Linked DNA regions of Arabidopsis thaliana. The protein of the gene in region 1 interacts with the protein of each later gene in a pairwise test. Each region holds a gene or a part of one and is shown on either strand. Other genes may lie near its edges. The genes, in order: COI1, JAZ12, AT5G42190 and CIP4.

Region 1 (5,637 bases):
ACTTGTTTCGCTACCGAATAGGCCAGGATACCGATGGGAGCCATTTGTAGACACGAGCAAACCGAGCCCTTACGACTGCATAACACCGGATCTCCCAGAGAGAGAAACGGCGATGAAGCAGTATAGGCACTTCTTAGATGCAAATGTGTACCCAATGCTCAGTTACTCATCCATCATTCTCCTTCTTTCACCAATTAAAGACCCCTGAGTTTGCGTGATTCCTCCAAAAGCGTATTAGACAAAATCACAACATATGAAGGAATCTTCTCAAATGTGAATGAGATGCATATACAGACAACTATTTCGTTACCTATATAATGTATTATAGTAAAGGTTCCTTTTATGGTTAGAAGAATCTGAATGGGGTACCTTTGGTCGGCTTCAGATATGCCCACTCATTGTTAATAGATTCCTTTATCGTCTGTTAATCCAATCAAAAGCTTGTTACATCGTTTTCAGAATTCGTGTAAGAACAAGAAATCAAAGTTTTCATCTATAAAGTTATAAATGATTATTAGTACTCTATTATTTGCCTTTTTACTAATGTTATCAAAACAATCACAACCACAAATAAAGTTTCAGATGCCAATCCAAACAAATATAGCTCTCAGAAGTCAACACCATGGACGATAAAGAAATCTCTCAAAATCTTCGGGGTTTTATTAAAGAAATTAAAGTAAACAGACCCCTGAGGAAAAATAAAGAAGTAATGACCATACAACAAACAAGACTGACTCTATGTAATCTCCCAAAAACATCGACGACACAACATGAAACAAAAAAAGAACCAAAGTAGTATAGTACACAGTTTGTGGAAACCCCAAAACTCGAGACTAAAAATCTTTATATACAAACCTGTTTTTTGGGTCATATCATATTGGCTCCTTCAGGACTCTAACAGTTGTTGGACAATCTGTTCTCTGGCCAGCCAGAGAGTAGTAAGCCAATATATGAGCCGGATGCTCCATCTCTCTTATCTCTCCTTGTTGATTCACTTCCGGGACTCTTCTTGATGGAATCAGCTCGATGTTCCAGTACGGTCTAGCCATCTGCATTAGATCTTGTCCCGTCATCGATGCTCTGTAACCTTGTACCCACAAGTATCTCAGTGAAGGCAATTTTGTAACCGCTGCAGCGATTGCTCGCTCACTGAAGCAACAACCTCTCATCTCTAGCTTCTGTAGATTTGGACAGCCTCTTGAGAATTCCATTAAACCTTCATCTGATTCACCTACGTAACCCAGCAGCATCCATCTCACGTTTGGACTGTACTGTCCGATGTAGCTTAAGCCCAAGTCGGTTAAGCCGCCTTGTCTCAGATAGAATGCAAATCGTCTGAGTTTCTTGCATCCAATCAAAAGAGATCGGACTCCGTTGTCCAGTGGCAGATCTGTAATCCTTTCTTCCCGGTCGAGTAAGACAAGGCGGAAGTCACAGAGGTTTTTCAGATATGTGCCTATGCTTTCAAGAGATTCGTTAGTTATATCTGAGACATACACCGCCATGTATTCTAGCTCCTGGCAGCCCTGAGCCAAAGCGATTAATCCTCTTTGTGAGACTAAGCCTTCTTCGTCCTCCATTCCTTGTTCATCTGCACCGCGTTCAATCCTCAGCCGCTTCAACTGCTTACAGTACTGTGCAAGGACCTCTAGACCCCTATCTCCGATTACATTCCTTGTCTGAAGAAAAACAACAAGTGTTGTCAGTCTTATATAGATGTAAAGACTAAAGAGAACCAATATTGCATTCATATCCCTTATCTCCCCAAATATTTCGTGAAAAAATAGGAACACAATTTAGTACTAAGGACGCATTCCCAAGTATGTAGTAAAGACAGCAAAGTTAAACGTTTACCTCGAGAACTTCCAAATTAGGACACTTTTGGATAAGCGTACAATGGTCTTCAGTTTCTAGCAATGCATAAAGCAAATCCAGCTTTCGGATTTGGGCCGCGAATGGAAATAGTATTGGCATTTCATTAGGTCCCATGTAAGAGAGACCAAGCCGACATAGTTTTCGGGGAAAAACCAGATTCATGTACTTCTCAGGCATTCCAATATCCTCATTCAAGGAGCCACCACAAAATTCTTCAAGATTAGCTGCAGCCTTAAAGAACCCAACTAGTTCCAAAATCTCAAAGTCACCGACCTTCACAGATACCAGAGAGCGGCAATTTCTAGCTATGGTTTCCAAGTCTTTGGGACTGATTTTGGCAAACTCCGTCATGTAGAAGTTTAAAACCTCAAGAGATGTGTTGTGCTGAGCAAGCTCATGAAGCCACTTACCATCCTTTTCACTAAAAGAACTCTCTTCCATTAACAAAGTTTTTATTTTCCTGGACAAGACAACAGACAGTTGCATGAATAAAGTGAGAAACAACTCAAGATATTTGGATTTCCCGCTAAAACTGAATATGAAGAACAGCAGCAGCCGAATCAAGGATTCAAAAACCAAATAATACACATAAACTCTGGCAGACTGAAGATGTCAGAAATCAATCTTTTTGCTATTTATGCATAAACAAAGTGAATGTTCCCCAAAGAGGGAAAAAATTGGTTGTAGATAAAATCCGGATCAAAGTTTATACTTCCCCAATTGAGAAATAACTGAAGATCATTGCAATTTCTGCTTTAATAGCAAGCATAACAGTTGCAAAGCAATTAAGGATATAAGACAAACATGAACGCCTAAATACTGAAACTTTCTGAAATAAATGTTTCTGCTTATATTACTCTTAGTGTAAAGTGTACTAAGAAATCAAATGAAGTAAGGTTCACCAATTTCATTAAGGACAAAAAGTATCCACCAAAGTTACAACTTACCCAATTGAGCTAAAGAAGATCAAATCTTTACAAACACAAACTCAAGATATGGTTCTTTGTACAACGACGACTTATTAAGTTTTTTAAAAAGAGCCAAATGCATCTAGAGTTCTAGTCAAAGTAGGAAATGATAAGGAGTCGCTAAACCTCAAAAGCATCGAGCCAAAGTAGCTACAAGATACTGAGAAGTAAGTGTACCTGCAGTGTGTAACGATGCTCAAAAGTCCATCAGTAGTAAAACCAGAACACTTGTCTAGCTTCAAAGTCTCAAGATCATCTGCTCTAGCTTTAGCTAAACGATCTAGATCTAAGTCACTGACAATCATCCGTCGGAAGTGCACCGATTTGAGCTGCCTAAGGTTGTTAGAAATCTCAGTAACCCAAGGAGTAACATAACCTCCCCAGTTCTCAGGGATCAGATTAAACATAGCTGCTCTAGGCTTGCCTTTAAGCTTGAGCGACCTCAAGTTCGGGAATCGACGGCTAAGACGATCAGGCGTCGCAGTGTAGCAAAGCGCCATAGTCACATGCTCTCTCGTCTCGGAATCAATCTTGAACCATCTCCGACACACCAAAGAAGCCGAATCGCGATCTTTCGGGTCAGTTATATAGGTCATGACTTGCTCGATGACATCATCAACCGTCGCGACGCAGCTCAATTTACACCTCTTGATATCAGGATCCTCCATCGGATCGAAAAAAAAACAAAAGAAAAAAACAAACGAATCCTGGAAAGATTCGATTTAGAGAAGAAACCGACGACTTCGAATTGAAATCGAGGTCGCAGATCCACACATAACCACCAGAGTGAGAAGAAAGAAGTAAGAAAGGAAAGATCCGGTGAATCGGAGAAGACTAGAGATTGAGAGAGTGAGGGAGAAGAAGACACGCGTAGGAAGAAGAGGCGGATTGGGAGGAAGAAGAAGAAAGTGGGACGATGGAATCAAATTTTGTTTGGTTAATAATATTTTTGAGGATCAAGTGGGACGATCATTATTTCATACACTGAAGTTGACGGTCGAGATGCGATCTTCTCTCTACTTCTATGTTTTTCTTTTCATTTTTGCAGTGGTCAGATCTCAGCTACACGACAATATTATTAGAATATTTAACTGATCCAATAAGCTGTGTGATTTATTCGATGGATAGATTTAATTATTTCTTTATAGAGTATTAATAACCTGAATCCTAAGCAAAAAATTTAAAAATACTAAATACTAGTATATGTTATCTTTGGTTGCTTTATATGTGATTAAAATAAAAATACAATAATTCTCCTTTCTTTTGTAAGATAAAAATTTTCTACAGTATTAGTAGCTTTTAATGAGGAAAAAAAAAGTTGTTGACTGCATGAATTTATATGGTCCATAATATGGTTAACTATATATTATGGACCATATGAATATAAGTATATAACAAAAAACTACATTTAATGATGTATGATTTTCAAGGTTTATTTGGTACAAGTTCAACATCAATTGTCGAAAGAAAGCGCTCAAAATGGTACTTTTGGAACAAAGACTATTTACATGTCTTTTTTTTAACGTCTTTGGGATTAAATCATTCAGCAACAAGACTTAAAAAGCAGCAAATTATTAACTTTTAGTGCTTATTACAGTTGCGAAAAGAACCAATCACATTGAAATTTCTTTCAGTGACAAAAGTTTTTCCAATAGAAAAAAAAAGCTCAGGAAAAGTATTAGAAAGAACAACAATGACTATGAATAAGGAGGGAACCATGAAAGAAAATGAATACTGCAAAAGAACTTTTTTATTATGATCGTATTTCTTAGCTTCATTTGAAACTCGGAAATAACAAAGGTAATATAAGCAAGCTACAAAAAACCCGACTAATTACACCTGAAACCAAAAGACTTGGGCTGAACAAAACCAAAAACTAGGCGAGAGATGAGTTTTCTATACACTTAACTCGGACCACACTTACAAAGAACCAAAAAAATTAACCAGAAGTCTCTCTGGGAGGCGCAGGCACTGCTTCGCTTGAGCTCACACTCTCACCACCACCATCTCCTCCCTCAACTGAACTCGGTTGTTGCAACCCAATAGGTGCAAACAAGCTCACACCACTCACATCCCGGCTCACACTGTATAGACCTCTGCTTCCATGATGGTTCAAAGGTGTAGATGTTGTTGCATTGGCTCCGCTTATGAGCAATCGTAGTGTTTCTCTTGCACCTTTCTCGACCAGCGAATCATTCTCCACTGGGAGCGGAGGGATGCCCGTGGATATTATCCCGGTGGGTCCAGCGCTTACCAGATAGCTTTGACCTGAAGAGAAGATATCGATAACTGGAATATGAACAATAGGGTCGCACATTATAGGAATCATCATCTGTTGCTGGGATGATGATGATGATGAGCCTGGAATGGGTATGTGGTGGACTAATGGTAATGGAGGGATGTCAGAGAGATCGAGCGGTGATGACGGGATCAAGAATCCATCTGATCCCGATGCTGGTAATAAGGAGGAAAGTGGCGGAAGGGAAGGTAGCTCAATGGATAGTGGAGGGAACTGATAAGAGGCAGATGGTGCGTGAAGCGATGAAGTGGTTGGAGGGCACCAGCAATAATAAGGAGAAAAGACTGGTGGACCCATCTTCAAAGGAAATGGGGGAGGTCCGGTCATTGTACTTGGTGTTGACTCTGCTTCTTCAAAAGCAATAATTTGTCTGATTCCATTATAATTCTCAGTAGCTTCTTCAACTTCTCCTTCTGACTGGATAAAACCCTCTACATTGGTGGGGATAGAGGTAATGGATGAATTATCAAAGATTGAGAAATGGCCTTCACTGTG
Region 2 (4,000 bases), on another chromosome or scaffold:
CCAGTCATTATTTTCACCGAGGAATTGCTTAAAAAGTTTGGAGCAGAGGCAGAATGTTGCATCTGCAAGGAGAATCTAGTTATTGGCGACAAGATGCAGGAATTGCCATGCAAGCACACATTTCACCCTCCTTGCCTAAAGCCTTGGCTGGTATAAAAAAAAAAATCCCATTCTTTCAAGCTTACTAGTAAGTAAGAACATAAAGCTTATGCTCATATTGTTTTATGGCAGGACGAGCATAACTCTTGCCCTATATGCCGCCATGAATTACCAACAGACGATCAGAAATACGAAAACTGGAAAGAGAGAGAGAAAGAGGCCGAAGAAGAGAGGAAGGGCGCAGAGAATGCTGTCCGCGGAGGTGAATATATGTACGTTTAAATTTCAATCAGTTATGGCACACTCCCATTGTCTTTCCTTGAAACATCTCCGAATTGTTGTTCATCATTCACAATTATAAATCCCATTTTACATATAGATTCAATGTCTTTTGTATGAAAGCTTATAATAACAACACAGACTTCTTTACTTTACACACAATTGTATCTTGAAGAGATGACAAGTTCAATAACATAACATCAAAGAGTCATTAGTTAGATAGACTCTAGGACAGTGTTACTAACTACAATAGTTTCTTCAGTAGAATTGTAAAATGGCAAACATATCTGACCACTCCCAGACATGGAAACAATCTTCGGTTTGTCTAGCAAACCTATACAGACACTATCATACAACACATTACACACAGCAGCGTACATGATAGATTATCATATTAATTACTATATTGACAAAACGTTTTACTTAGTTTGCTTATAAGCTTAATGTGGAGGTTTGATCTTCTGCTAAGCAGTTGGAAATTCCTCCTTGATAGAGACATTGCCTGTTGGGACATCTGTCTTTTTGAAGTCTGAAGTAGGGTAAGGGTTTTTGTTGACCAATCTGCAGATAAAAAAAAGTGAATGTTATTGTTAGATGCAATATCAAGGTTAAACATTATGATCAATCTGTCTTTACAAGTCTCTCACAGGTACATTAACAAGCTCTGTATTAGTAATCAATCAAAAACTGAATAAAATAGATCAGATTTGAATTTCCATTGAAATGGAGAAGGATGAAGTGTAATTTTAAAGGCTGCATACCTGTCCCGTCTTTTCTCGAGGAATCGTTGAAGCGAATGCCTCCTTGCAATAGGTAGATCTGTTACGGCAAACATAATTGTAAGAAACTAATGAGAGTATCCATTTTCAAGGTTTGAAGATTACTATAACCAGTTGAATCGAATACTTACCAGCCGTGGATCTGCAAAACGAGATTGGCTGAATAGGAAATGGCTGTGCAGCTGGTGATGCCACATTAGATGTGCTTGAGAAAGAAGGAGCTCTGTTCAGTGCTGGCGATGAGACAGGACTGATGCTTGTAGAATTCTTTGTCTCCATTGCTTTAGCAGCAATACGAAGGATTTCTTGAACCTATAGGCATAGATCACAGTGAGAACAGAAATTCTGAAGTTTTTCTGACAACAACAAAGCTCTAATGGACCAACCTTTTCTGATGGAAGTCCATCAAACACAGTAACACTTCCACCAAAGAAAATAGTAAGTTGATTTGGAGGAACCGTTGGCTCAGCGGTTTGAATCTCCGTGGACCTTCAATAGCAGAAGATCTATTAAACTTGTGACCGACACTATAAAGATGGACTTATTGATGCAACATTAAGAAAACTCTCCACATATGAATCCAGTCTCTCCAATTTCACATGTTAACGGTGAAGTTCTATTAATCAAATTCACATGAAAACTTATGTATGCATTAAAGGACTTTGAAAAACACAAGTTTGTTAAGAATCCAATTGTTCCAGCCAAAAAACAAATTGGTTCCATTGAGAAATATGACTTTCCCTAAATAGAAACTAAAGTAACCAGATCGAAATGCTGATCTTCCTTATCAGAAACAAGATACAATTTTAAGTACTAAACTCAAAGCAAAGAGAGAAACAGATAAAAACATGTGAAATCAACAGTAAACACAGCTCATACCTAACTTCGTTAATCGATTTCTCAACAGATCCGGTACCGCCGATCTCAGCCGCGCCGCCGTCACCGTCGGCAACACCACATCCACCTTCAACGGAAGCGCGTGGCTCATCTTTCACCTTAGTCATGGCTTGTCTCTCAAAATTTGTAGATCTGTCTTTTTCCGATGAGAATTTTGATACTTCTCTCCCTTAGAGTACTTTTGTTTCGCTTCGTCTCTACGTCGTTCAGACCGGGAACCTCCGAGATTTATCCTTCTCAGAAGCTCCTGTAATTTGACACCTGGCGATAGATATTGATTTTTATTGTTTGACTTTTGGTGCTACGACAGTAAAAGACAACAAGAGGGTAATTAGAAACGTGCTCGAATATGATACGGTGTCGTTGGCCTTCTATGTGGGACATGCTTTCTCATTTCGGTTATCCGGAACTCCAAACGTGTATAATTTATAAGTGGCTGAGACGTTAAACTAATTGAGTTTGCTGGACCTTGATTCATTGGGCTCTTAAAGTACTGTTGGGCTTAGTCGTCTTAAAATGACTTCTAAAATGGACCTTGACTGCTTACATTTATAATGTTTCTCTTTCTATTTTATAAGCCTCTTTACATTTATAGTTTTTTTTAGTAACAATATTCGCATACAAATCACGAATTAATTTATTTCTGTTTTTGTATTCGACCGCTAAATCATCACCAAATTCAAATTTGTATATGGAACATTTTTTTTTTTCCTCTATATAATCAAACAAAATGCAAAATTGTCGAAACTATAAAATTTACTTCTTAATGTAACTTATAACTTTTTGGTTAAGGGTTAATCTAAACTTTTTAGTTTTTACTGAAGGGCGCATAAGAAATCTGGGAAATACGAGGGTAGTTTGGTCTTTACGAGTTTCATTTAGGGTTCCGAAAGATCTGGGTTTTGGCTCTCTCCTCTCATTTTCTACTCTTCTTCAAAAGCACACTCAATATTTCGAGATCCTCTCGGCTTGTTCGTTCTTCGTGAACGATCCCATCTATTGTTTCTCGCTAGTCTCAGATTCGACTAACTTGGATATCTCCGATACTGAAGAAGCCTCCTTCTTCTTTTTCCGCTCTTCCCGATGCCGGTAATGTTCCTCCGTCGTCTCTTTCAATCCTTTTGCTTTTCCCCAGTGCTCTCCGTTAACTGAACTTAGCTATTTCGTATTTAGATCGATAAGATCTTCAAAGATGATGCTAGTGAAGAGAAGGGAGAACGTGCGAGGATGGTGAGTCTTTTGAATCGATTAGGATTTAGGGTTTTTCAGATTCACTCTTCTACTGTTTAAATCTGATTTTCTTTTCTTTTGTTGTTGCTCTTTTAGGCATCATTTGTTGGTGCAATGGCTATCAGTGATCTGGTTAAGTCTACTTTAGGGCCAAAGGGCATGGTAATTTCCGATCTCTGAATATTTAGAAAGCTACAAACTTTCAATTTGGTTCTATTGATTATTGTTGAATCCTTTTTATTATTGTTTAGGATAAAATCTTGCAATCTACTGGTAGAGGTCATGCGGTCACTGTTACTAACGATGGTGCTACTATTCTCAAGTCACTTCACATAGACAACCCTGCAGCTAAAGTTCTTGTTGGTATGTAATTTCCCTGCGACATTCTGGCATGAAGTTTTCACATTCGTTTTTTCTTAGTTGGGTTTTCTCTCACAGTTCGTTGTATCTGGTTTGTTCTTCAGACATCTCGAAAGTTCAAGATGATGAGGTTGGTGATGGAACTACCTCTGTTGTTGTCTTGGCCGGCGAGCTTCTGAGGGAAGCAGAAAAGCTTGTGGCTTCTAAGATTCACCCTATGACCATCATAGCAGGTACACTTTTGGAGCTTTAAGTGTTAAGATGTCAACTTTGTATCAGCTTCTCTCACTATGGCAATGATTTCTAATTTTTTCGTTTTCTGGTTTCTTAGGTTACAGAATGGCTTCGGAATGTGC
Region 3 (3,771 bases), on another chromosome or scaffold:
TAATTATAAATAAAAAATCTAAATTCTAAATAAAAAGTAAAAAAAAATTAAATTCTAACCACTTTTTAAAAAATTCAAACCAAAATGTAATCTCGTTTAATTATAAAATCTAACCCTAGTTCTTCTTTGTACACCCAATTCGATATTTAAACTCTTTTAATTGCAAACTCTAAATCTCTAACCGTTCTTTCTAAACCCAAACCGATATTTAACATTGTTTAATTATAAAATCTAAATCCATTTATAAAACCAAACAGACGTTCAATCTCGTTTAGTTATAAAATCTAAAACTGTTTATAACTCAAATCGATATTTAATAGTAAAATCTAAACTTCAATCCTTTCTTATAAACCCAAAACTATATAAAATTTTGTTCTTGTGGCAAATTAGATTTTATAATAAAATAAATTTAATTTATTTATTAGGTATAAATTCTAATTTAATGGAATAAAAAGGTGAATAAAGGGGTGAATCTAAATATATTTTTTATTGGCCCATATTTTTTACTAGGATAATGGCCGATTATGCTTTGGTGAAAATTTAGATAACGCAAGTTAGATTTTTCTCACTTTATTTAATAAGATAAGATTTTAGCGGGGATGAAATTTTTACAAGCGAATCCCTCAATATTTCACTTATGTTCGTGGATGATAGCTTCTTTTTTGTAAAACGACAAAAAAAACAATGCGTCATTGGATTTGGAATACTAAAGAACTATGAAGAGGTTTTTGGTCATGAGTTGACAACTCGATGATGGACAAACTTATGGCAATCTTCGAAATCACTAATATAGGGGACATGAACAACTACTTGAGATTATCGAAAAGTTTAGGAGGATCTAAGACAAAAAAAATTTACTCTTTTAGAAAATATTTACATAATAGAATAAATGGTTGGTTTACAAAATTCTTATCTAAAGATGGCAAAGAAGTATTGATTAAATCAGTACCAGATGCATTGCTTACTTATGTATTGTCTTGTTTTAGATTACCAAAATCAGTAACATCAAAACTTAGGAATGTAGTAACGAAATTTTGGTAGAGTTCCAATGGACGAACAAAACGTTTACAGTGGAAGGCATGAGATAAATTTTGTCATAGTGCCTCTCTGCTCTCCCTCTCCTCCTCCGGGTGCCTCTCTGCTTGCTACTTGGTTCCGTCTCTTCAGTTAGGTCCTCCTCTGCGGTTCAGGTTTCCTTATGAGTTTTTTGAGTCCTTGGGTCGTTCCCTCTTCGTTCTTTTGGTTTTTGGGCCTGCTATTTTTAAGTTTCAGCTTCTTTGGTTGTTTTGGGCTTTGCTCTTGTTGTCGGGCCTGCGCGCCTTGGATTTGAGCTTTTGGATGTGTATGTTTTCGAGCCTGTGTGCTTATGTTTGGACACTTGTCTTATAACTTGTTGTTTGTTTTAATGGAAATTTAAAATTAAAAAAAAATAAGAAAAATAAAATAAAAAATAAATAAGTTTTGTCGTAACGGTGGACTTGGTTTCTAGAATGTGGATGATTTTAATACAACTTAATTAGCAAAACAACTGCCGCAATTGATTATGATTCTTAACTCTTTATTTGCAAAGATGTTCAAAGAAAAATATTACCGGAAATCAAATCACATGAATCCAATTAAATTATACACACCATCCTACAAATAGAGGAGTTTAGTATCTGTTCAACTACTGATTAATCAAAAGTTGATGAAAAGAGTTGAATTAATTTTCAGGTGTTTTCCTTTGAAAGAAAAAAACAGAGAAAATGTTTTAAAATGAAAATTTATAGGTAAAAAAAGTCAATTGGGAATCGTTAGATCTCACTGGTTCAATGTGTGAGCCGGGCTTTAAAAACATTTTGATTTAACCCATACACACATCTCTCTGTTCCACGATTCTCTTCCTCAGCCTCCACGTCGTCTCTAAACTCAGCAAAAACCAATGTCGACGGTGAGAAAAATCACTCTTAAGAGTTCGGATGGCGAAAACTTCGAAATTGACGAAGCGGTGGCGCTAGAGTCACAAACCATCAAACATATGATTGAAGATGACTGTACCGATAATGGTATCCCTCTCCCTAATGTCACAAGCAAGATCCTTTCGAAGGTGATTGAGTACTGTAAGAGACATGTCGAAGCTGCTGAGAAATCCGAAACCACGGCCGATGCTGCTGCTGCTACTACTACCACCACCGTCGCGTCGGGTTCTAGTGATGAAGATCTCAAGACTTGGGATTCTGAGTTTATCAAAGTTGATCAGGGCACTCTCTTCGATCTTATCCTGGTTTGTCAAACTTATTTTTAATTGCTTTGGTTTTCAAAGTTTGCGATTTCATTTCTAGGGTTTGAGATCTTGATTTCTGTTTGAGATCTAATTTTAGGGTTCAGGTTTTGTTTAGATTGCCAATTTCACAGTTTAAACTATGATCATGTCTGATTGAAATATATGGTCTGATAGAGAAAAAAGTGTCAAGAGATTTCTTTTGAGTTTGTTGGATTTGTTTATAGCTGAAGACCACTTTACATCCAAACTCATGTTTTTTATGTTCTGTCTTAAACATTGGATAATGTTTAATTTCTTTGGGATTTGCTTGAATCTAGATTTGTTTTTCTGAGAAACCTTTTGGATGCTAACATGACATGTTTTGTTCTGTCTGAAACGAGTGATAAAGTTTATTTTCTTTGGAATCGTAGTTCAATATGTTTGATTTGCTTGAACAATAAAGTTCCATTTTTATCTGAAAGTTGAAGAGCTTGAATCTAAGTTGGTTTCCCTGTGACACCTTTTAGGCTGCTAACTACTTGAATATCAAGGGACTGTTGGACTTGACTTGCCAGACAGTGGCTGATATGATTAAAGGAAAAACCCCAGAAGAAATCCGTAAGACGTTCAATATCAAGAACGACTTCACGCCAGAGGAAGAAGAAGAGGTTCGCCGTGAGAATCAGTGGGCGTTTGAATGAAGAAAAATGAAGACCTAGGTTGCTGTCATGTCCTCGACCCATTTGTGTCTCCCTGTCTTATCTTCTTTCTTTGACTATATATCCATTCTCTTCTACGTGATGGTCCAGCTAAGACAGTGGGTCGGATGTTAATGTTATGTTATGTATGTCAAATTAAAGACTTAACTACGAAACATATTGAAGTTGTTGCTCAAAAGAGAGTGTTGGTCTTCTATTGTTTCGTCAATCATTTAGATAGGTTGTGAACACAAGTGATAAGATTTGTCTGCATGTTCTTAGAAAGAGAAAAGATCTTATTACTTGTAAATAAATGCCTATACAAGCACACACGAGAGATTGATAGATAATTCTGATACAAGAACCTCTGCCTTAATCTTTAGAAAGGCCCATTCACAAGTAATCAATGTGACGAAAGAAAACGAAAGACATAAAAATGTAGTAGTAACGTGATGTTGGAAGCGTAGATTGAGATTCTAGCGAACCCTTCTGCAGTTAAGTCTGACCTCATTGCCATTCCCACTGATACTACTCATCTTGATCATCGATTTCACAAAAGCCCTCTCGAACTCTTCGTTGGAATTTGCATATTTGGCCACGAGTTTCTTAGTAGAGGGTACTGCAAGAAGCGATTCGTCGGATGAGAATAGTGACTTGCCTTGGATAAGCATCTTGTAGTAGATATTGTCGAATGACGTCACGGTTCCATCCATGTTCGATCCAGCATTCTTCACCGTGTTATGGGCCGGGCACACTCCCTCCAACCTGGCTGCGAATGAGGGGTTTAGTGTTGGGTCAACCTCCTTTTGTGTGTTGAATTTATGGAGCCTA
Region 4 (6,218 bases), on another chromosome or scaffold:
AATACCGAAATTTGGTAAAACTATTAGTCTTTTATTTTTGTTTTCACTTTGTGTGAATGTTTTTTTTAACCATTTGTTTAAAACAGGTGAAAACTATACCCATATTGAGTGATATTCCTGAGCCTCCTCCTCTTCCTCCAAAGCCTTTGGTGAAACCATCAGCATCAAAAGGGTAAGTTAATTTACATTTAGAATCACTACGGATTATATAAGAGTAATATATTCATGTTATAAATTTGTAAATTTTCTTCATATTTTTACAGCTCGAAGCGAACACAGCCGCGATTGAGTTTCAGGTTGTTTGGTGCTTAAGCTCTCTTCTGAACAAGTGAGCTAATATCAGGAAAATCTGAAACATGTTGATGCTTCAGTTATATTTATACGCATTGTAGTTTCATGTGTAAGATACTCAAGTTGTGTGATTGCAAGTATAATAAAGGGAAAAAGAAACACAATGTATTTGATTTTTACCATTGATTCTTAGTAGGTTTTGTATGATATTACTGATGTTAACATGTTGAAGTTGAAGGATTTGTTATCTTGAAGCTCAAGAAATCTGGGATTCAAGTATTATGGAACCAAACACGAGGATTAACCGAGACGAGATTAACATTTAGCTGTTGCAATACCTCTTATAAAGCACTTCCGATTAACATAAAATGTCAGAGAAGAAGCACCATACCAGAATTAGTTAGAACAAGCAAAACCGTGATTTGAAGATTTTGGTCAAAATTGAATCCAAAAGGATAATCAATAAAACTTAGATGGCGGCTTGGCTATCTGGGACAACATTTATCCCAAGGCTCTCATCATCGAATGCAACCGATTGTGATAGAGAAGCTGTCAGTTTCGCCGCCTTGTAACTTTTTGAGCTTCTTAGGATATCTTGCAGGCTCCCTGATAACCTGTTCACAAGACGAGTAAAAGAGTTCATGACAGTAGTCTGTGCAGCTAAGATTGAAAATAATAATACCCTGAACCGGTTACTTACCTATTTGTTCCTCCAACGAGATTATTTCCTGTTGAAACCAAGAATCGAAATTAGCATATCTGGTTGAGAGAACGTGTGATCAAAGTTATATTCAGATCGATAAAATACCTTGCTTCATATACATAGAAGAAGTCACATCACTATCATTGTCTGATGAACTATCTGATGGTGCATTAGAGGAGTCACTCGAAGTCGTCTTAGATTCATCCTCCTCAGCATCCTTGAAGAAATTCGTTGTGATCTTGTTCGCCGTGACTGAGTTAGAGATTTTCTTCACAACTTCCTTCTTGTTGTTGACATTCACCTTACTATTGTTCACTGTAACCGAATTAGAGCTTTTCTTCACGGCTTCCTTCTTGTTGTTTACTGTGCCTTTCATGGATGCATCAGAAAGATCAACCTTTGATCCATTGCGATCATTCTTAGCCCTTGACTGCAATTGACTAGTACCTGAACTAGATGGTTGAACTCTACCTTTTGTCTCTTTCACTTTCATTGAGCCATCAATGGAACCACCAGGATGCAAATCAAGGCTTTTCTTCTCCTTTTTAGATTTAGCTCCACCAGTCACTTGGTCTTCCTTGTTAGTACCACCAACAATATCGTCCTTTTGGCTAGAACCAAAATTGTCTCCCATATCAGCGTTCTCTTTCAGTACTTGCATGGAACGGTTAAGATCCTCAGTATTATCGGTGACCTCACTAATCTTTTTCAAAGGCGAAGCATTGCTCTCAGTAGTTTTCTTAGCTGGCGTGAATGATGCATCTGTGTCTTTTGGGTTGTTGATGGGAGAAGCCTCCTCCTGAGCAACATTGTTTACCTCAACTGACAAAACTTGGGCTTCCTCCACAATGTTCAAAGAGTCTTTCTTCTTTGTTTTCTTGCTTGACTTCTTCCCACTTTTTTCCAGATTTTCCTCAGCTTCTTTCTTTTGCTGCAAAGAATCTACTACTTGGGCCTCCTCCACAATGTTCAAAGAGTCTTTCTTCTTCGATCTCTTGCTTGATTTCTTCCCACTTTTCTCCATATTCTCCTCAACTTCGGTCCTTTGCTGCAAAGAATCTAATACATTTCTGATATCATTAACATGTCCTTCTCCATCTACAACTTTGATAGGTTCAACATTCTGTGCACCAAAATCTACCAGAGTATCTTCTTTAGCTGGGGTCTTGGCTTTTCTTGAACTTTTCTTCTTAGTAGACTTCACAGATTTAGCCTGATCAGCATCTATTTCAACTCTTTCCTGAGGAACTTTATGTTCAGTATCCGTAACTTTACCTATGTGGTCCAGCGTTTTCGATTCCTGGACAAAGGCATGTGGGGTGCTCGCCATACCAGCAACTTGTAGATTACTCGCAGCTTGTATTTCGTCTGCACCGATAAGTGTGGCCTCTCCACTTCCCACCTTGTCAACCAATATGTCAGCCATCTCATTTCCTTCCAAAAAAAAAAAAATCACCAGTTATGAGTTGATAATAACTCCCTGTGACATTAACATATGATTGAAAAGAAGAACTATCTTCGACCAAGAATCCAATTTACCATTTTGTCTTACCATTTTGTTTGATGTGATCTTTTGAGCTCTTCATTCGCTTTCTCTTCTTCTCTGTAGCTGGACCAGTTGTCAAACTACTGCTAGCTTCCAACTGGTTATCCACGTTAGTCACCACTTCAGCAGTTTGAAGATTATCGACAGCACTTGGAGCCAATCTTCTTCCCTCACCTCTCTCATCAACTTGTGACGTAATCTGCCCATCTACAAGTTTTGAAGCAGGTGGAAGATCCTTCTCTTGGTCAATCATGACTATATCAGCAGTTTTTCCTCCCTTTTCAAGATCTACAGAAATTCAGAAATGTTATCAAGGGTAAGCATACCATAACTCTCCATAACAACTAATAAAGGATCCCAAAACTCAATCATAGTTAAAAAAAGAAAATTCACCTTGTTCTATTGTTCCCGTAAGATCATCTACTTTTTCTAGAGCTTCTTTAATAGTTTGATTGTCTGGTACTTCCTTCACCACACCACCGGTATGCCCATCTACAAGCTCTGAATTAACAGTGAGATTTTTCTCTTCCAGTAGCCTTTCCGTAACAGAAGTTTGCTGCTTCTCTCCCATACTAAGGCCGCTTTTCTCGCCGCTTTCAATATCTATACAACATCAGATATTACAACCAAAGGTAATTCAACTGACACTCTCCAAAAACATCTGAAAAATCACTACATTCCATATTAACCAAAACAGAGGGTACCTGCTCTCGTAACAACATCATCTAGCTTTTCTCTTGGTGAAACTGCACAAGATTGAGAGACAACTTCACCCTTTACTTTTCCACATAACTCGGTAGTAGCAGCAACAGCAGATGGACTGAGATCAACCTTAGATTTCTTTGGACTTGTATTCCCACCCGGACTTATAATTCTCCTCTTCCTTGTCTTCTCCTCAACTACTTCGGTTTCCAAACCTTCTCCACTAGTCAAATCCTTATTATTCATATCATCTACAAGTACTAAACCATTTGCAATCTCTTCCTTCTTCTCAACCAACTCAAGGTTTTGATCAGCAGCCATTATAGCATACATCTTACCCTTGTCAACTCTAATGGCATCAATATACATAAACCAGTTTCTACTAATGCCATCAAAAGCCTTACACACATGCAAAGAATCTGAGAAATGATAAAACTTTCTTCGTCTTTTAACCTTGAAACAAAATTAAACCAATCATCAATTATACTTGTTCCTAACAACAAAAATGTATGAACAAAGCAGCAAAATCCAATTACCTTCAAGGCAGAGATTTGAATTTCTCCAATTTCTGGGAAAACTTGTTTATGCTCCTTGAGTAATCTGTCTATAAACCAAACCAAAAAAAAAAAAAATGATCAGAGAAACTCAGTAATAATAAGTTTAAGTAGTAGATTTCAGTGGAGTATGAAGAGATTTAGTAAGCCGATTCAGTGATAAATTTGAGAAGAGAGACCTTTGAAATCGGAGATGATTTCATCTTTATGCACATGTAAAATGAGACGAGTGTCGAGGTTGGTTTCTACAAAGACGCATCGAATCTCCGGTGAGGAATTTGTTTCGCGATTAGCCATTATTTCGAAACGAGACTGGAATTGGAAGGAGACGAGCGAAGAAGAAGAAGAAGAAGAAGAAGAAGAGAGCGTTTGGGAGAAAGAAAAAAGGATAAAACTTTTCTGTTTAATGGTCCAGCCCTATATAAGCCCAAAAACTTTTCAGCAAAACCCTATTTAAGCCCAAAACTTTCTCGTTTTGATTGAATGCGAAAGTGGAATTGTAGCAAATTTAGGATGGTACAGTTCTCCTCTTGAAACAAATGCTCATATCCTCTTGAATCCTCCTCGTCTCACGCGACTTATTATCACTCAACTCCTTGATGATCAATTTTTAGGTCAAACAATCGCTCATTGTGTTAAGGATTCACTTGCTAATGATAACTCTCTTCGACAACCGTCTATGCATGTGAAATATATCAAACAATCGCTCATGATTTTTGTGTCTCCAAGTAGTCGCCAATATACACTATATATTAGTGTCACACTCTAGTCGCAAATTTGTGACTATTGTGCGACCATCTTGTTCGGGACTACTCATAATAGTCTCAAATTAGTCGTAAATAGCATACATATTTGCGATTATTATAGGACTCTTTTGGTGGTTGTGTTTTCTTATATTATATCTAAACGGAGAGATAGAACATTTGAATGAAGACGAAAGTGGATAAATTGATAACAAATACAGTTCTCCACTTCAAACGGGTTCTCACATCCGCCTTGAAGCCACGAAGCTTCAGGCCACGTTATTTATCTCACTTCATTCCTCAACTCCTTCATGAACAAGAGGTACTGGTTCTATTGTCGAGATTTAGGTTTAAAAATCTCTGTTGACGTTTATTATTTTGTTTCTCACTAAACCAGAATAAACCGAAATAATACCAAACAATGTTTTGGGGATATAATTCCGGTACAGTGTTAAATATGTAGATTAACTTAACTTACAAGTTACAGCGGTAGAGTTTTAGAAAAGGAAAACATGAATCTTATCGATTAAAAAAATGAAACAACAAATGATATTGTACAACTCGTCTCTATATAAATTGATGAGACATGTCATCTGAAGAAATCTATTTCATTCTCTTTTCGCTTCTCTTACTCTTCTTTTGCAAGTTAGGGTTTCATTAATTTTTGTTTGAAAAACTTCTACTCTGCCATATGGAGACTGAGACGTTGAGAACAATAGAAGTCTCTACGATGGTATCAAATCGACCTAAAATTGTAGGGGTTACGAACACAGTCTTAATCTACCAAGAAGAAGAAATTGAAGAATTGATTGAATACGAAAGTGGAATTGTAGCAAATTTAGGATGGTACACATCTCCACTTGAAACAAATGCTCACATCCTCTTGAATCCTCGTCGTCTCACGCGACGTGTTCTCACTCAACTCCTTGATGATCAATTTTTAGGTCAAAAAATCGCTCATGATGTTAAGGATTCATTTGCTAATGATAACTCTCTTCGACAACCTGTTACCGTAACCGTCTATGTGACATATATCAAAGAGAGGCGTGTAATTTTTCCTCATGGTCCGTCGTTGTTGTCGAGAGGTGCTTCCGGAGAAGTGTTTCATAGATTGGTTGAAGAACAGAGAGTTGAATCTGCTGATTTGGAAGAAGAAGATGAGACATGTTCGATTTGTATTGAGAAGTTTTCGGAGAGTCATGAAGACATCATTCGGGTGCCTGATTGTTTACATTTGTTTCACCAAGGTTGTCTATTCGAGTGGCTTGGTCTTCAAAACTCGTGTCCCTTGTGTCGCAAAGTTCCATACGAGGAGGAGGACGAGGACGAGGACGAGGAGGGTTAGGGTCTTGGAGGTGTCTTCTTATGTTTAGGTATAGAATTTGAAGTCCATTTGATTTCTTGAGGCGTAATCATTATTATGTAATCAGTTCTGTCTTAATGTTATGTATAAACATTTAAGATATGTTCTGTCGTAATGCACAAGTATCATGAAAGACATTATTACTTTTGAGTTATAACAAATGTGAATCAGGCTACTCTTTTGATGCATTGCTCAAAAGCATTATTGGCACAAAGTCCCTTGAGAAGATGATCTCTCTGTGTGTTCCACAGAACTATTGCACAATGGATTAGATCAAGTTTGCTAATTTAAGCTTCTTCTTTCTCAATGGTTTGCA

The links.
Region 2: the proteins of COI1 (region 1) and JAZ12 interact in a two-hybrid assay, tested with the Arabidopsis thaliana proteins (one study listed by BioGRID).
Region 3: the proteins of COI1 (region 1) and AT5G42190 interact in binary tests that used the Arabidopsis thaliana proteins (3 or more experiments, as listed by UniProt).
Region 4: the proteins of COI1 (region 1) and CIP4 interact in a two-hybrid assay, tested with the Arabidopsis thaliana proteins (one study listed by BioGRID).

The regions. Positions count from the first base shown.
Region 1 is NC_003071.7:16,671,976-16,677,612, forward strand, and holds COI1 (RNI-like superfamily protein), read right to left. Parts: upstream 3,890-5,637; 5' UTR 3,512-3,889; coding exon 3,021-3,511; intron 2,336-3,020; coding exon 1,855-2,335; intron 1,680-1,854; coding exon 873-1,679; 3' UTR 518-872; downstream 1-517. Other genes in the region: ISA1 (isoamylase 1), read left to right, coding at 1-208; AT2G39950 (flocculation protein), read right to left, coding at 4,783-5,637. UniProt on the Arabidopsis thaliana protein: Required for jasmonate-regulated plant fertility and defense processes, and for coronatine and/or other elicitors perceptions/responses. Seems to not be required for meiosis. Required for the regulation of some genes induced by wounding, but not for all.
Region 2 is NC_003076.8:7,089,044-7,093,043, reverse strand, and holds JAZ12 (jasmonate-zim-domain protein 12), read right to left. Parts: upstream 2,341-4,000; 5' UTR 2,162-2,340; coding exon 2,037-2,161; intron 1,647-2,036; coding exon 1,544-1,646; intron 1,470-1,543; coding exon 1,289-1,469; intron 1,198-1,288; coding exon 1,140-1,197; intron 1,130-1,139; exon of another isoform or gene 940-1,129; coding exon 843-939; 3' UTR 505-842; downstream 1-504. Other genes in the region: AIP2 (RING/U-box superfamily protein), read left to right, coding at 1-150, 232-381; AT5G20890 (TCP-1/cpn60 chaperonin family protein), read left to right, coding at 3,138-3,143, 3,228-3,284, 3,381-3,446, 3,536-3,647, 3,749-3,877, 3,976-4,000. UniProt on the Arabidopsis thaliana protein: Repressor of jasmonate responses.
Region 3 is NC_003076.8:16,853,667-16,857,437, reverse strand, and holds AT5G42190 (E3 ubiquitin ligase SCF complex subunit SKP1/ASK1 family protein), read left to right. Parts: upstream 1-1,696; 5' UTR 1,697-1,921; coding exon 1,922-2,263; intron 2,264-2,769; coding exon 2,770-2,943; 3' UTR 2,944-3,247; downstream 3,248-3,771. Other genes in the region: PER64 (Peroxidase superfamily protein), read right to left, coding at 3,417-3,771.
Region 4 is NC_003076.8:14,722,602-14,728,819, forward strand, and holds CIP4 (COP1-interacting protein 4), read right to left. Parts: upstream 4,218-6,218; 5' UTR 4,094-4,217; coding exon 3,976-4,093; intron 3,847-3,975; coding exon 3,779-3,846; intron 3,696-3,778; coding exon 3,245-3,695; intron 3,144-3,244; coding exon 2,934-3,143; intron 2,829-2,933; coding exon 2,547-2,828; intron 2,429-2,546; coding exon 1,100-2,428; coding exon of another isoform or gene 1,083-1,099; exon of another isoform or gene 1,020-1,082; coding exon 992-1,019; coding exon of another isoform or gene 988-991; exon of another isoform or gene 906-987; coding exon 761-905; 3' UTR 543-760; downstream 1-542. Other genes in the region: SUS5 (sucrose synthase 5), read left to right, coding at 1-14, 87-172, 264-312; AT5G37200 (RING/U-box superfamily protein), read left to right, coding at 5,231-5,884.